Linked DNA regions of Sus scrofa. The protein of the gene in region 3 interacts with the protein of the main gene of each other region in a pairwise test. Links are inferred from orthologs where the notes say so. Each region holds a gene or a part of one and is shown on either strand. Other genes may lie near its edges. The genes, in order: WWP1, WWP2, ATN1 and LENG8.

What was found.
Region 1: the proteins of ATN1 (region 3) and WWP1 interact in a two-hybrid assay, tested with the Homo sapiens proteins (2 studies listed by BioGRID and IntAct). The link is inferred for Sus scrofa from reciprocal best matches to the Homo sapiens genes ATN1 and WWP1.
Region 2: the proteins of ATN1 (region 3) and WWP2 interact in a two-hybrid assay, tested with the Homo sapiens proteins (2 studies listed by BioGRID and IntAct). The link is inferred for Sus scrofa from reciprocal best matches to the Homo sapiens genes ATN1 and WWP2.
Region 4: the proteins of ATN1 (region 3) and LENG8 interact in a two-hybrid assay, tested with the Homo sapiens proteins (2 studies listed by BioGRID and IntAct). The link is inferred for Sus scrofa from reciprocal best matches to the Homo sapiens genes ATN1 and LENG8.

The regions. Positions count from the first base shown.
Region 1 is NC_010446.5:50,387,615-50,390,975, reverse strand, and holds the end of WWP1 (NEDD4-like E3 ubiquitin-protein ligase WWP1), read left to right. Parts: intron 1-1,557; coding exon 1,558-1,657; 3' UTR 1,658-2,829; downstream 2,830-3,361. UniProt on the Homo sapiens protein: E3 ubiquitin-protein ligase which accepts ubiquitin from an E2 ubiquitin-conjugating enzyme in the form of a thioester and then directly transfers the ubiquitin to targeted substrates.
Region 2 is NC_010448.4:17,225,160-17,229,285, forward strand, and holds the start of WWP2 (NEDD4-like E3 ubiquitin-protein ligase WWP2), read right to left. Parts: upstream 2,824-4,126; 5' UTR 2,680-2,823; intron 2,533-2,679; exon of another isoform or gene 2,189-2,532; intron 1-2,188. UniProt on the Homo sapiens protein: E3 ubiquitin-protein ligase which accepts ubiquitin from an E2 ubiquitin-conjugating enzyme in the form of a thioester and then directly transfers the ubiquitin to targeted substrates.
Region 3 is NC_010447.5:63,792,606-63,796,901, reverse strand, and holds the start of ATN1 (atrophin-1), read left to right. Parts: upstream 1-1,516; 5' UTR 1,517-1,526; intron 1,527-1,668; coding exon of another isoform or gene 1,669-1,829; intron 1,830-2,870; coding exon of another isoform or gene 2,871-2,913; intron 2,914-4,296. Other genes in the region: uncharacterized protein LOC110260590, read right to left, coding at 662-1,516, 1,669-1,829, 2,871-2,913. UniProt on the Homo sapiens protein: Transcriptional corepressor. Recruits NR2E1 to repress transcription. Promotes vascular smooth cell (VSMC) migration and orientation. Corepressor of MTG8 transcriptional repression.
Region 4 is NC_010448.4:58,861,079-58,864,640, forward strand, and holds part of LENG8 (leukocyte receptor cluster member 8), read right to left. Parts: intron 3,504-3,562; coding exon 3,218-3,503; intron 2,724-3,217; coding exon 2,622-2,723; intron 2,521-2,621; coding exon 2,452-2,520; intron 2,305-2,451; coding exon 2,175-2,304; intron 2,092-2,174; coding exon 1,355-2,091; 3' UTR 383-1,354; coding exon of another isoform or gene 220-382; 3' UTR 1-219.

The DNA.
Region 1 (3,361 bases), on a different chromosome or scaffold from region 3:
AATTAGTAAAATTTTTATAGGCAGAAAAGGATATTCTAGAACACAGGAGAGCCATAAGAGCATGGTCATAGAACAGATAAGTATGTTTAGAACTTTAAATAAGCTGATGGGGGTGCTATTCCAAACAGCATAGGCTTTTTTAAACTGGCGTGTTTTCTTAAAGTACCCCAGGCCGTGATAAAAGGCTAGATAGGTTGTGAAGAATTTTTTTTTTTAAATGGATGAAGGATCAGCACACAGGAAATTCTGATAAGAGATGATGGGAAAATACATACAGAGGAGATACTGGTAGCAGTAGTAATGATCAGGAGGGAAAAGATAGCAGAGATTTAGTAGATAGAATGACAGACTGACAAAGGCAGTGACTGTCGGTATGGGGACTAAGATGTTCTGAAAAGAACATCATTTTAATTGGCTGCCTTGGTTCAAAAGGCTCTTTCTTGATTCTTACATAGGAGTAGAGGGCAAGGGCAAGTAGGAACTGGTAAGAGTGGTAGAAGGGAACTGAATGATCTATAGACACCTTCCACATGAGAAAATAAAAGTACTAAAAGGTTTTCACTTCTCGGAGCTGTTCTCATTAGGCAGAAGTGGGGACAGGACTAACCGCTGTGGTGCAGTGGGTTAAGAATCCGACTGCAGTGGCTCAGGTCATGGTGGAGGCGCAGGTGTGATCCCTGGCCCGACACAGTGGGTTAAAGGATCTGGAGATCCTGCACCTGAGGCTTGGATTCAATCCTTAGCCTAGGAACTTCCATATACTGCCGGTATGGCCATATTGTGGGGACCAAAACCCTGGACTCTAGAATCTCATCCAGCTACTCAGTGCTAAATCTTTAAAAAGTGTTATTCCACACCTTAGTAAATTGTAAAACAATACATTGACATCTTAAGCATTTTTAATATTTTCTGTATTTCATCAGTTAATCCCAACAGGGAACTCTTTGAGTCTGGCAAGACTGTAAGCATATTGTTTTAGAAGTGATTATACATATGATGGGATTATTGGAAAGGAAAATGTATGTATTTGGTTATTGACGGTCTCCATCCTAGAAAGTAAGTTTGATGAGGACAATGACTAGTTTTTCATCACTGTATCATTAGCTCCTGGAAAAATAACTGGTACATAAAAAATTTTCAATAAATAACTGATGAATGAGTTAGTGGGTGAGTGAGTGAAAGACAGACTCTTTAACCCAAGAAAAGTTAGGGAGACTTATGATACAGTGTAACAATAATAGTATTAAAAAGAAGAATTAGTTATTTAAAAATTCCAGTGTTTTTATACGTATTGCTATAATTATTTGTAATTCTAGTTTTCTCTGGGAAACATTAAAATTTTATGGCTAGGTCTTAAATTTGAATAGACTGCTATAAGAAAGTCTGTACATTTAATATTACAATCATTAAGTAAATTGTTAGAATACTTCTAGCAAGATTTTGACATTCTTCCTCTATCCATTTAGTTTTTCAAATGTGCTTTAAAAAATATTGTGTTAGAAATCTTTTCAGTTTGTTTTATTGAAAACGTCTGATTTTGTTTTTGTTTTTGTTCAGTTTTAATCGCTTGGATCTACCACCATATAAGAGTTATGAACAACTAAAGGAAAAACTTCTTTTTGCAATAGAAGAGACAGAGGGATTTGGACAAGAATGAATATGGCTTCTTGTCTTGGAGGAGCTCTTGCATTTAAATACCCCAGCCAAGAAAAATTGCACAGATAGTGTATATAAGCTGTTCATTATGTACAGTGAATTTTCTGAACCTCTCAAAGTATAAATGTTTTCCGTTCTTCCACAGAAATATGCAAAACAGCTCATCCTTTTCTACTTTATTTATTGTTCCCTTGAAGTGACTGACCAGGAAAAAGATCATCCTTAAATTTTCAAGCAAACAAGAGACTTTATTAAAAATAATAAGTATATATCTATATAAGCATTTATGATAGTGGCTCTAGTTTTATAGAGCTCTGAGTGTATTAACATGACAGCCATTCATTCAAAAATAATCTGGATTTGTTTTACCTTGTTTCTGTTATCCAGGGAAAGTACAAATTGCTCCATGTTTTTTCTCCCTTTTGTAACATCTCCTGAAGGTGTTTAGTTGCATGGCTGTTCAGGAAGGTATTAAGGGCTTAGGCCAAATCTTACTTTGAATATGTTAAAAATGCTGCTGGCTTTTTGAAAGACAGGTGCTTGAACCTGTCAATTTGTTTTAAATAAATATAATAGTTGAAAAATTTCCCTCTTTGCTACATCACTAATACTGTTAAATTCATGAATGAAACCATAACTTAAATGAAAGTCGTGTACTAACTAGATCCATTACATTTAGTTTATTCTAGAAATTAGAATTCATTGAGCAGCATAGAGGTTTGTTTACATGTTACTTTGGGATGCTAGGTATTTGTGGGATTAAAGAGAATCAGGCACTTCTGTACTTTAGTTTTAAAATTTGTAATGTTCTTTAAATTCATAATAAATTGATGCAATTTGATACTTAGGAACATATGAAAAGGTAATGTGAACTTTTCTGCTTTTGTGTTCAAAGTTTTGGTTTTATAAAGCCAGATGGATTGAAGACTTAAATAAGCATTCAAACACTCAAATAAGTCTAATGATTCTCTGTTACTGTTTGAATATCTTCATTCCTCTTAAAATCACAAAAATTCTGTGTATCTGAATAAGTATAAAAAAATATTTTGCCCCCGCCCTTTTTACATAGATTATTTTGTCCTAAATAAATAACACTTTGTTTTTCACTATCAAGGGCATTTGCTGAACTGCAAAGATGTATAACAAATTAAAATCTGATGTGAATGATATTAATGCTACTTTAACAAGCTGGGCTTCCTTAATATAAAAATTTAAATTTACATTTGTATCATGATTTCAGTATGCACTGTAAATTTCAATAACTTAGAAATTGTTTTATAACCATGAGAGTGACGTCTTAGAATGTTATCTGTAACATTTCACTAAGTACATACAGAAAATACTAGTATACAGTTTAATTTCCCTAAAAAATAGTTTTTATTTCGCCAAAGTTTTATTTTTCTACATATTATTTTAGATTGTGTTTTGCATTTTTATTCAAAACGCATAGTAAAAATGAAATAAAGTCAGTGATCCACTTGGGTTGAATAACTCCTTTCCCAAATTCTGATTACTGACATTCTAATTATTTTCAAGCCTAAAGAATTGAAAACAAAACAAACTAATGTATAGGGCAGACTATGCAATAGAGGTGACCAGTCTTCAAAAGGGCTACTTATTATACCATGAAAGAACCACTGCTGGATGAATTTTGCCATGACAGAAGTTACCATCATTCAGTAATGTGAGAACACCATGTAGCAGA
Region 2 (4,126 bases), on a different chromosome or scaffold from region 3:
GTTCCTGTCGTGGCACAGTGGTTAACGAATCCGACTAGGAACCATGCCCTTGCTCAGTGGGTTAATGATCCGGTCCCTGCCCTTGCTCAGTGGGTTAATGATCCGGCGTTGCCGTGAGCTGTGGTGTAGGCTGCAGACGCGGCTCGGATCCTGCGTTGCTGTGGCTCTGGTGTAGGCCGGTGGCTACAGCTCCGATTGGACCCCTAGCCTGGGAACCTCCATATGCCGCGAGAGCGGCCCGAGAAATGGCAAAAAGACAAAAAAATAAATAAATAAATAAAAATAAAAACTAAACAAAGGAAATTTCAATTCTATTGTACTTAGGACAATAAACTTTAATGCTACCATTTATAGCATATAAGTACATTACATTTATAAGGTCATTTAGTATAATCTTTTTAAAAATTAATGAGAAATTTTACCTTTATCTTTCTGTACTAAGTCTTCCAAAATCTGGCATGTATTGTATAGTCATAGCCTATCTCCTGTACTCGGCAGCCCCATGTGTCTAGTGACTACGGATCTGAACAATGAAAACCCTAGAACAATGCCTGGCAAAGAGTTCGTGCTTATAAATAGCCACCAAATGAAAAAATAAAGAGGCAGCTATGGTATAGCATAGGATTTTCTAAACTTTAGTTACACTCCATATTCACAATTATTGCTATAACCTATACTATTTTCCCCTTAAAATGTCATCCTTTGCACACTTGAAAAAAACATTTTTTTGAAACTTTACATTGAATCTAAAAATGGAAAAGAATAGGTCCAAGGATAAAAGGCCTGGGCATGAGTCCCTGCTCAGTCATTCACGACTTCTAGATTCTCAAACAAGGACTTCACTAAGCCTCAGTTTCTTCAACTGCAGAATAGGGACAATTTCAACCTTCAGAGGATCATAATGAAGACTGAATAAGCTCTTTTTTTCTTTTTTTGGGGGGGGAGGTGGATGTGGAAGTTTGAGGGCCAGGGATCAAACCCATGTCACAGCAGTGACTCCAGCCATAGCAGTAACAATGCCAGATCCTTAATCTGCTGAGCCACCAGGGAACTCCCATAAGCTTTTTTTACTATGGGAAAGTAGTCACTAAATAAGAGATTGAGAAGCCAACCCAAGCCAACCCAACCCCACACCTATCATTTTCTTATAGACCAAACAACAAAATGGCAAGCTCATTTACCAAGAAGAAGAGGCAGGACTCAGATTCAAATCTCTTCTCCACTTACAGGTCTGTGACCTTTAGAAATTCATTTATTCACCAAAAACTTACCAAGTGCCCATAGCACACCTGGCTCCAGGCTAGTTGCCAAATAAGCCAAATAAGATATAAACCCCGCCCTTTGAGGAATTTGCAGTCTATCAGAAAGAAAGAGAACAGCAGACAAGAAAACACAAAAAAATTGTCAACAAAATCCAGTCTTCTGAGATCTGTTTGTTCACTGTGAAATGAGAATAAACATCTTCCTAATCTAACTCCCAGGGCTGTCACAGAAATCAATTTTTAAATGTTTGTCAAACATTCTAAAAACTTGAACTCAAAACACATTAGCAAGGTACTTTTTTTTTTTTTCCTACTTGTAACCCAAAACAACTCCAGCTCCTGGGACTGTCCAGTTTGAACATTCACTTCTATTACATCACATCCATGAAATGCATTCCACTTTTGCAAATGTTAGTAAACACAAGAAAAAGCGGGTGAACAGCCTTAACACAGGTATTTAATCTCAAAATCATGATCCAGGTCACAGTTCTATGGAACACAACACAGACCTTCCAGTCATGCTAGCTAGTTACAGTTTGTCAAGATAAGCAGTCACATGGCAAAGGAAACTGAATAATTTAAACTCAAGAAAGAAAAAGTCATAAAGCAGGGTAGGTAGATACCGGCCAAGGTTACTGCAGTCGCTGTTAGGTGAGGTAATGCTGGGATTGGACCGTGCTCAACAGTTTAAGCTAAAAGCCATTTTACAGCCAGAGCAAAGTGCCCACGCTCTTTTCTTAAGCCCAGAAGTTGATCTGATCTGTGGAAATTTCAAAGAAACATGATCTGAAAGGCTAGGTTCTCAAGAAGTAGAAACCCTACCCAAGCAGGACTAAGTGGGCGTGACGAAAGCAAAATGATCAAGATTCTCTGATCCCTCCTGAAGTTTAGAAACTGAATGGGACCAAAATCAAAGTCTCGGGTACCAATCATTGCCAAAGAGGAAGGAAGGAAGAGGCGCTCAAGCGCGGTTCAGGCAGCATCTTCCTCCTGATTTTTCCTTCCACGTCGTTCGCCAATTCTCAGGCGACCCATTCTAGCTCAGTCCCAAGTTGCCCCTTCCTCCTGTCCCGATCCCGCCACAAAGGTCACTCCTCTTCATCCCTGGCACCTAAGATGCTTGTCCCTTCCAGGAGGACTTGCTGGCCACCGCACTTATGCGTGCCTTGGCGCCCACCTCGGAGTTGCCCCCGCACCGCCCGCAGCGCGCCCACCCCGCTCGGGCGGGAGCCGGGACACCCCTCCTCGGAGGCCGGAACCGCCGCGCCAGGCCCCTCCCACAGGAAGCCACCGCCCCCCGGCGCCCGGGCCGCGCCGCCCCTGGCCCACCCCGCGCTGCCCGCTGCCCGCTGCCCCAGGCCAGCCCCGCGCCCCCGCCAGCCTGCCCGCCGCGCTGCCCCGCGCCGGCGCTCGCTACCTGACGGGACCACAGAAGCGGAGCCCAACTCCTCTCCCACTTCCGCCTTCGACCGCCCGCACTCGGGCCAGGTCACGTGACCACGCGTGGTCACCTGACCCGGAAGAGGCTGGCCGTACCTGCAGGTGTGGGCAACCTAGGCCAGGCCTGGGAACCTTTAGCCAGAAAGCCTTCTTATCCTTTGTATGTTTAAAAATGGGAGGGTTTTCCCCTCGTCAGATGGTACCCGAGCAATCAAGTAAATTGAGGGCTCGGTGAGTGCCAGGAGCTTCATTTACTCCTCCCATCGAGCCCAGGGGCGTCTCTGTCAGCCCCATTTCACAGGTGAAAGGAGGCTTTCAGTCAATTAAGTCAGCGGTTAATTTACTGACTTAAAATATCCTAGGGTCACCAGATAAAATACAGGGCACCCAGTTAAATATGAACTTAAGATAAAAAATATGTAATATGTAGGTGTGCCCCAAATACTGCCTGGTACATGTTTATACTAAAAAACTATTTGTGGTTGATGCTCATATTTAATTGGGCAAATTGGGTTTTAATTTGCTATACCTGACAACCTTAAGCCTACTATGTGCCAGGCAGGGTTCTAGATTCTAGAAACACACAAAAGTAACTTTTGTGGAGCATCTGTTTTGTTTTGTTTTGTCTTTTTGCCATTTCTTGGCCCGCTTCCACGGCATATGGAGGTTCCCAGGCTAGGGGTCTAATCGGAGCTGTAGCCGCCGGCCTACGCCAGAGCCACAGCAACGCGGGATCCGAGCCGCGTCTGCAACCTACACCACAGCTCAGGGCAACGCCAGATCCTCAATGCCAGATCCTCAGCCGACTGAGCAAGGCCAGGGATCGAACCCACAACCTCCTGGTTCCTAGTCGGATTCATTAACCACTGAGCCACGATGGGAACTCCGGAGCATCTGTTCTTGTGACATAAAGCAAAAGTAAAAAGACTCCAGAACCCTTGCTGGGGTTGGTAAAATGCCCACCACACCAATCGAACCCCTATTTCCTTAATATAAAGAGTCAATAGCACTTTATGAATTAGAAAAAAAAATTAATCAATATACTTTACTGATGGTAGGGAATTCAGTTTTGACAAGTTGAAGGAAGGCTCAATTTTTCACTCTTCATCACCACAAACTAAAATGAAGACTAATCACTTAATTAGCTTTAAGCACTGTGCACTGATTATTCTGTTATTTTTGGGTCTTCCCGTTCAGAGTGATCCTATTATGCATACAAATTAAATTGGTTGAGCACTTAGTCTCTGCTTTTCCTATTTCCACTCCAGATCCATCCAGGAGATGGCCTTTCAAGGAGCTACAGCCTTTCTGAATACCGTAATTCCTATATGAATCCCATCTATAAACCTATTCAAACTTCTTTATTTCTCTCACCTCATCTCCAACTACTCTTCCACTCAGTACCCTGCTTCAGCCACTCTGGC
Region 3 (4,296 bases):
CTAGCTTACATTTCCTCCTAATCTTCTTTACACCCCCCTCCACTTTGGCCCCATTCTGTCCACCCTGTCTTGCCCACAGACACCCTTCTCCACTCTTTTGGAACCCCCCACCCCCAGAACCCAGCCGTCCCTGTCCCCCACTTTCTCTTCCCACCCAGAACCCAGTCCTCCTCGAATATGCACCTGGCCCCACCTCCTTCATCCTTTCTTAAGGTTCTTCTAGCTTTGCTTTCTCTTTCCCCATGACATCACTAGGTTTGTCATTCCCCCAACTTCTTACCTTCCCCATCCCTTTGTCAACACCAGTCACCCCCAAACTCTTCACTCTCCTCCAGAAATCCCGTTCTCCTGTATATGTCTCCATCTTTTCAATATCTTCCCCTCCTTATGACCCCCAAACTTCCAGCCCCTTTGCACGATTGCCTCCCAAACCTTTCCTGCTACGCTAGGTGTCTGCCAGACACTATCACCCCAAGCTTCTTTCACCTCCCCTGTCACACATCTCATTGTCCCCAGGAAGCTCTGTCTCGCCCCAACCTAACCCCATTACCCCATCTCTGCTACATACCCACAACCTCCCCCCTTGCCTCTGCCACACAGCCCTGGGCCCCCAAACTTCTCCAGCCTCCCCCATCTCTGCCCCTACAACCCACGGCTCCTCCTACCCAGCCCGCTCCCGCGCCAGGCCCGCGGGCTCCCCGCATTCCGCCACGGCGAACCCCTCCCCGCGCCCCGGCCCCCTCGGCCTCGGTCTTGGCCAACTCGCGCGGCGCCTCCCCCTTTCCGATCCCCCTCTCCGCCCCTCCTCGCCGCTCGCCTCGCGCTCCCTCCCTCGCGGCTCCCTCCCTGCCCCTCTCTCCTCCGTTCCTCCGCGCTCCCTCCTTCTCCCTCTTCCTCCCTTCTCCCATCCCCCTCTCCCAGGCTCCCTCCCTTCGCCGTCCGCTTTCCTGTGCGAGTCGCCGGACGCGCCGCCCAGCCCGCCCGCCCGCAGCCCCGCGTCGGGCCGGGGCCTCGGGCCGGGACCCGTTTCAGGGGGACCGCCGGCCTCAGGGAGGAGCCAGGAGGGGGCGAGGGAGAAGACCGCCCGGGAAGGGGCGGGGGCCGCGGGCGGAGGCCGCCTAGGGGGCCGGGGATCGCGCAAGTGCGGGCTGCGCGGGGCGGGCGCGGGCGGCTGGCGGGAGGCAGCGGGTCGGAGCCGCGCGGAGGGCCGGCCTGGCCGCGGGGGCGGACGGGCGGCGCGGCCCGGACGTTCTGGGCAGCCGGGGTAGGCGGCGGGCCTGGGGAGGGGCAGAACTAGAGCGGGGACTGGGATTTGCTTCGGGGGCCGGCGGGCGATCGGGGCCAGGTGGGGGAAGAGGGAAGATGGGGGCCGCCCTCCGGGGGGGTCGGGGCCGCCGCCGCCGCCGTCGCGGCGGCGACTGAAGCCGGAAAGAGAGGGGGGCGGGGGAGCGGCCGCCGCCGCCCCCAGAGGCGCCGGAGCCCCAAATCCCGTTCGGAGCCAGCCAGCCGTCCCGAGCTACAAACAGGTAAGATCTGCTGCCGCCCGGGCCTTGCGCTCGCCCGGGTTCTGGCCCGCGGCTCCCCACCCCCACCCCTCCCAGTTCCCCCTCCTGCCGCCGCCGCCGCCGCCGCCTCCATTTGTTATTTTTCCCCGATCTGGTCCCCTACTGCGGGCCCTGGCTGGCCTGAGACTGGGGGCTCAGGGGGTGGGGCCGGCCCCGGAGGAGGGATGGGGGCCTGGACGCCCGGAGGATCAGGAAGGTGGGGGGAGGTGGGAGAGTCACAGGAGGAGGGCTGGTGGGGCGGGAGTGTGGCCAGAATCCCGGGACCTAAAGAGGAACCCCCGAGGTGGAGGGTTGGCGCAGGAAAACCGGGATGCCCGTCAGGGGGGCCTCGGGGCGAAGGCAAAAAGGAATGGAGAGATGGCAACGAGGTGGGGCAGGAGGACTCCAGGAAAAGCCTCAAAGGCCCAGAACCCGGTTTCAGATCCTGGGGTTCGGGGTGCTAGGTATAGAAGGGAGGTGGGAAATGGGGAAGGGGTGTGGTAGGTGGAAAGAGAGGGATTGTAGCTGATGAGGGAGGAGAATGGAACTGAGGGGGGCTCAGAGATGGCCGAGGAGAGGGCCACCCTTGAAAAGAAGGGGAGGTGCTCCCGAGTGGAAGTGGGAAGGCGATGCCTTTGTGACTCAATTTTCTTTCCTCTACTCCAGGTCACCTCTGACCTTGTTTTTGCAATCCCAGACATAGGTGCTTCTTGGAGAGGGGCACGCTAGGGCCTGGTAGTGTGGGTCCTCCCGCAACTGATGAGGAAGATGCGAACACTGAAGGGAGAGTTTAGGGAGGAAGGGTTTCCGGGAGGGTGGAAAAAGAGGGGAGCATTTGGGCAATCTTACAGGCACACCAAACAAGTCGTGACCCCCACCCTCAAACCCCCAGAACACCCCTGCGCCTCTAGCTGTGGTTTCCTTAAGCGGTGGGTGGATCTTCATTAGTGTTTTGTGCTCCGAGATTTCCCTTTGTGCGTAGACTTTTTTTCTGCCGGGGTAGGTACTCTTAAGCTCCCTTCCCTGAGGGTGCTGTAGGAGGACAGGAGTTGCTTTGGCAACTGGAGGGGGAGTGACTGGTAGATGGACCCCTGGGACAGACTCTTGAGGGGCAAGTTCTGCCTCTTCGTTGCCATGGCAGTGACCCAGTGGGATGTCCAATAGATGGGGGTTCTGCATCTCCACTGGGCCTTTCAGCCTCTGGCTATGTCCTTGGGACGCTCGGCTGGATTCTGAAGGATGTTTCGGGTGCTGCTGGTGGAGAGGAGTTTCCCCAAGGGTCCACCGTGTCCACCCAGCAGTCTTTGGAACAGGTAGACATGTTACTTGCAGGTGGTAGTTGTTTCTCCAGGTCCCTCCCCTTAGGCATGGTGGGAGGATGGGAATGCTCCTGTTCCAAGTTATACCATCTTTTGGCAGTTCTTGCTGGCCTCTATCTCCCTTGTTATTAGGAAGTTTTTGGATGGTCTTGTTGCTTCTTTGCACAGATATTCTTCCATTTTCTTCACCTTGAGTCTTCCTGCCCAAGTATCCCTTTTCCTCTGTCCCAGACTCTTCCCCACAGTAACGCCTTCGCTCATCTGACCTCCAACCTTCCGTTTCTCTGAACTTGTAGGGATGGCTGGGCTCTCCACGCGCCTCCCAGGTGAGGGTCCCCCAGGGGAGAGGGCTGTAAAACAGCCTGGTGCAGTGGAAATATTCCAGAACAGGAGCCTGGAGACCTGGGTCTAGTCCTGGCTGTACCTACTAACTGTGACCTTGGGCAAGTCACTTCCCTTTGAGCCTTGGCTTCATTGTCCGATGAAGGGGTTGTAGATAAGATGATATCTGAGGCCCCGCTGACAACTGTAGATTCTAAGGCTTAGGCCAATGCCTTGTTATCTGCTGGCCTGGGCTACATTGTTATCTAGGAGTTACTTTGGACTGGTTTGTTAGTCTGGCAGGTTTGGAATGATGGTGGGGGCTGGGCCAGTGGTCTTGAAATTTACCCTGCAAGCCCATCCTGGAAATCCTTGTGCCTTGGATATAATGCAGTCTTTCTGATATCTTCCTCATATTGCTCCCTTAATTTCTTTTCCTGTTCTTACTTTGAGACTATTTCCCTATCTTTGGTGCCTAGGCTTAGTGTTTTGCAGATACATAGTAGGTGCTTTATAAATCAGAGAAGGAATCTGAGCTACTCTTAGCGCAGCTTGTTGGTGCTGAAATATGCTCCAGGTTCAGGAAGGTCCGTGCAACCCAACCCTACCTCTTTCTCGCTCCTGCCACTCCTTATCCCCAGGGTCACCTACCTTTTATGAGTGCTTTTCTCCTTCAGAGCTCCTCATTGCTAATTTTATCAGATTCCAGCTGATTAAAAAAGTTAGGGTGGGGGCGGGGGCACACCAGGCTTTCTCTGTTCTTCAAGAACATTTTGCTGCTTTCCTCTGGCCTTTTGGATCCCATAACTCTCACCGACAGTGAACAAGTTCTGGGATAGGAAGGAGGGATGAGCACCTGCCTTTAGACGAGCTGGCAGAGACACATGAGGCACAGTTTTTTCTGTTGTACTTTTGTTGGGATTATTTTCCCCTTTGGTTATGTTGGGTTTTGTTCTTTAGGGTTTTGGAGGGTTGACGATATTTGAAAACCAATGTACCGAACAGCTCAATACTGTGGTAAATAGTTGTAGTGGAAGAGAAATGACCTGTTTACGGGGCTCTAAGTTCAGAAGACCTGAGGCTCTGTCCCAGCTCTTTTGTGACTCTTAAGT
Region 4 (3,562 bases), on a different chromosome or scaffold from region 3:
CCCATCCCATCCCATCCCTCTGAGGCAAAAAATAAAAATGTAGAAAACATCTCTGTACAGACTCCCCGGTGGGAAAACGGGGGCAGGGGTGGTGGCTCGTCCTGGAGCCCAATCCCCACAAATTAATTTACAACCCAAGTCCATGGCTCAAAAACAAAATGTGCCAAGGCGGTGCTGGGGGGCTGCAGCCCTGCCCCCCGCCCCCGTCGGCGCTGGTGCTCAGAAGGCTGACAGCTGCGCCAGGCTGAGGCGGCAGTCGATGCTGGAGTTGTCCGGGCCCGTGTAGGCCAGGCCTAGGGGCTCTAGGAAGGCCCGGCAGGCGGCCTCGCCCTCGAAGGCCAGCTCGGCCTGCAGGTAGGAGACTGGCAGCGCAGGGCGGAAGCTACGGAGACAAGAGGAGAATGCGATGAGGCGGGCGGCGGACTGGGGAGCGCCCCACGAGCAGGGAGTGGGTGCCCCCCCATTCAGGTACCCAAAAGGTTTCCTCAGCACGTTACCTGCTGACCCCACCACCAGCCCACAGCCTCCCCACCTCGGGCTCGGGGGGGCCCGGGGTGGGGTTGGGAGCCCCAGCCCCGGCTGCGCCCCCCCTCGCCCTCACTTACCTGTGCAGGGGTGGGGGGACCGGGAGGAGGGACTAGGAGGGAAGGGCCCCGCCAGCTCTTCTGCTGGCTGGGGCCTGGGCAGACCCTCAGAAGAAGGCCCACTGTGACCGAGGGGCAGGGGACAGGCACGGGGCGGCAGGGCTGACGGCTACCCTGGGGGACCTGGCTGGTCGGAGGCCCAGCCGGCGCCGGGAATGAGCTCTTCCAGGTGCCGCAGCATGAACTCCCTCCCCACCTCCCTAAGCTGTGCGGTCCTACCTTTACAGACCCGAGAACAAAGCCACTTGGCCAGTGTCGCCTGGGCAGTAACTGGCAGAAAGTATTTGAACCAGTCTTGCCTCAAGCCTAAAAACACTGTTGCCACCCTGGATGTCCCTCCCGGGGGGGCATAGGAGAGGCTGCAGCCCACCCTGCACCCCCAACTCCGAAGCTGGCCCAGGCCCAACCGGCTCTGCCCAGGAGAAGTGGCACCACCTTCAGTGGCGGGAGGAAGAAGAACACAAGGCCAAGGGCGTGAAAAACAAGGAGAAATGGTAACCTGTCCGCTATGGCCCCGGGAGCAGCACTCGGGGCAGCCAGGGTCCCCTCCTGGGTCCTCGGCTGGAAAGCAGGTCCCATACACCCTACCCCCTGTTTGTGCCCCACTCCTTCCCCTCCACTGCCTGGGCCCCACTCTCCCTTCAACATTCAAGGCCCCTGGGGGAGGCCAGGCGCACCCGGGCTGTGACGCGGGACGCTGTGTGCTGCCATCACCTTACCCCGGGGCGCCTCCCTCCCACCATAACAGTGAGCCCACCCCTTGTGGTGAACGGAGGGCACCCTGCTGAGTGCTGTCCGGGCCTAGCTTGCCCCACGTCACGCCTGCTCTCGGAGGAGCTCAAGGGGACCGGGTCCTTGACCCTCTGACCACAGCTGCCGAGGGTAGGGCCAGCTCTGCTGGTTGTCCCCAGAGAGCAGGGCCCAGTGACCGGAGAGGAAAGCGGGAGGGGAGGCCGGAGCAAGGAGACAACTGGGGTCCAGGTGATGCGAGCAGGGGGACCCACGAGCCCTGAGCGAGAGAGTGACGGAGGGAGGGACACAGAGGAGGGCGGTGTGCAGAAGAGCAGGAGGCCTGGCGAGAACGGCAGAGTGTGGGAAGGTGACCCGGGGAGCGAGACCGGGGAGGGGAGCTGGAGGCCTGGTGACCCCTGAGGGCAGAGCAGGGGAGAGAGGGAGGGGGAACGAGGGCGGCGGCTGCCGCAGAGCAGAGGGACAGCAGGGAAGCTCGGCTTCACATACGTTTTGATCATAGCCTTGAGGGCAGCCTTGCGCTCCCGGTCTGCAAACTTGTCCACGAGGTAGCCAGACATACAGGGCGCGTGGGAGTAGAGCCGGAAGAAGCGGTGGTAGTTGCCCAGAGCCCAGGCGGCCCGGAGTGCCAAGGCGTGGGCCACACAAGGGTCCGCTTTCAGTTCCCGCGTCAGGTAGGCCAGCTCCGTGGTGATGTCTGCGGCCACAACAAGGCGGGGGTCAGCCGGGCCGGACTCGGGGGGCCTGTGGCCGCCTGACCTGCCGGACTGTGCCTCTCACCTCCTGAGTTCTTGGTGAAGATGTAGTAGAGGATGCGGTAGGCAGTGAACTCGCCCACGTTGCCCGGCAAGTTCTCGGCGTACAGGGACTTGAGCTGCGTCTGGCACTGGTTGAACTCTTCGTGGTCTCCCTGTGGGCGGGCGAGGGGGGGAGCAGTGGGGTGAGGGGGAACGGGGCGAGGGGGGAAGCAGCGTGGTGGTGGGGTGGGGGGCGAGGGGGGAGCAGAGCAGCACGAGGCCAGCAGGGCGGGGGAGCCGGGCCGCGCCAGCCCACTCACCTTCTCCAAGGCGATGCGGGCATGTGTCTCGTACACCTCCACCGTGAACTCAGTTCGCACACCTTGCACCTGAGGGCAGGCCAGCGGCCGTCACAACCGAGCGGGGGGCGGGGGGGGGACGGGGGGGAATCCACCGAGCGGCCTCCGGCCCCTCCCGGCACCCGCCTCACCGTCAGGTCCTGCCGGATGGACTTCATCTGCTCACAGGCAAAGGCGTAGTCCTGCTTCTCCTTCCAGTGGGACTTGACCATGCACAGCGACTTCTTCAAAACCTGGAAGCAGGTGAACACAGGCTCTGTGTGACTTTGCCACAAGGACAAGGACCTGCTCCAGTTCCTTCCATGCACTCGTTCTAAGAGGAGGGCTGCGACATCAAACCTGATGCTCACAAGAACCCAGAACAGACGCATCAACAGCCCCAGGCCTTGGTCTCCACGTCAACACGTGGCCGTGTGTGGGCCTGGGGACGCCGGGCGTGCATGTTCCAGGGTCTCACAGGCCCTGGCCTGGGAAAGTGACATCGCCCTCCCCACCTTGTTCGCAGGAGGAAGGCTCAGAGGCCAGCCAAGCCTCCCGAGAGGGCCACATGCCCTCGCCGTGGCTCCAAAGCCTGAGTCCTGGGGTCCAGTTCCCCTCGAGTCCCTGTCAGCCACAGCCCCCCACACCCCGCACAGAGCTTGGGGTCTCCCCCAGGCCGGCCTGCCTGCACCTCCTCCGCCTCTGCTGACCTCGCTGGGCCCCAGCCTGCCTGCCAGGGGGCACTTACGGACACGGGGCGCACAGTGGACGGGTCTGGGGCGCAGGTGAGACGCAGGTAGTGCTTGGTGATGTCAGGGCAGGTGCCCACGATCTGCAGCTCCTGCCAGTCGGGGTCGGCCCCGCTGTTCTCCAGGCTGCCCATCTGCAGCACCAGGGGCTCCAGGCGCAGGCGGCGGGAATGGCCGTGCTGGAAGCGCGCCGCCCGCTTCTGCTTCTTCAGCTCGCGCTCAGGGTCCTCGCACTCCAGGGCCGCCATCTTCTTGCGGCTGCGCTTGGTGGGCGCTAGATCATGCCTGGGGAGGGACGAGGGGTCCTGGGCTGGGGGAGGTGGCACAGCGCCCGCCAGCCTCAG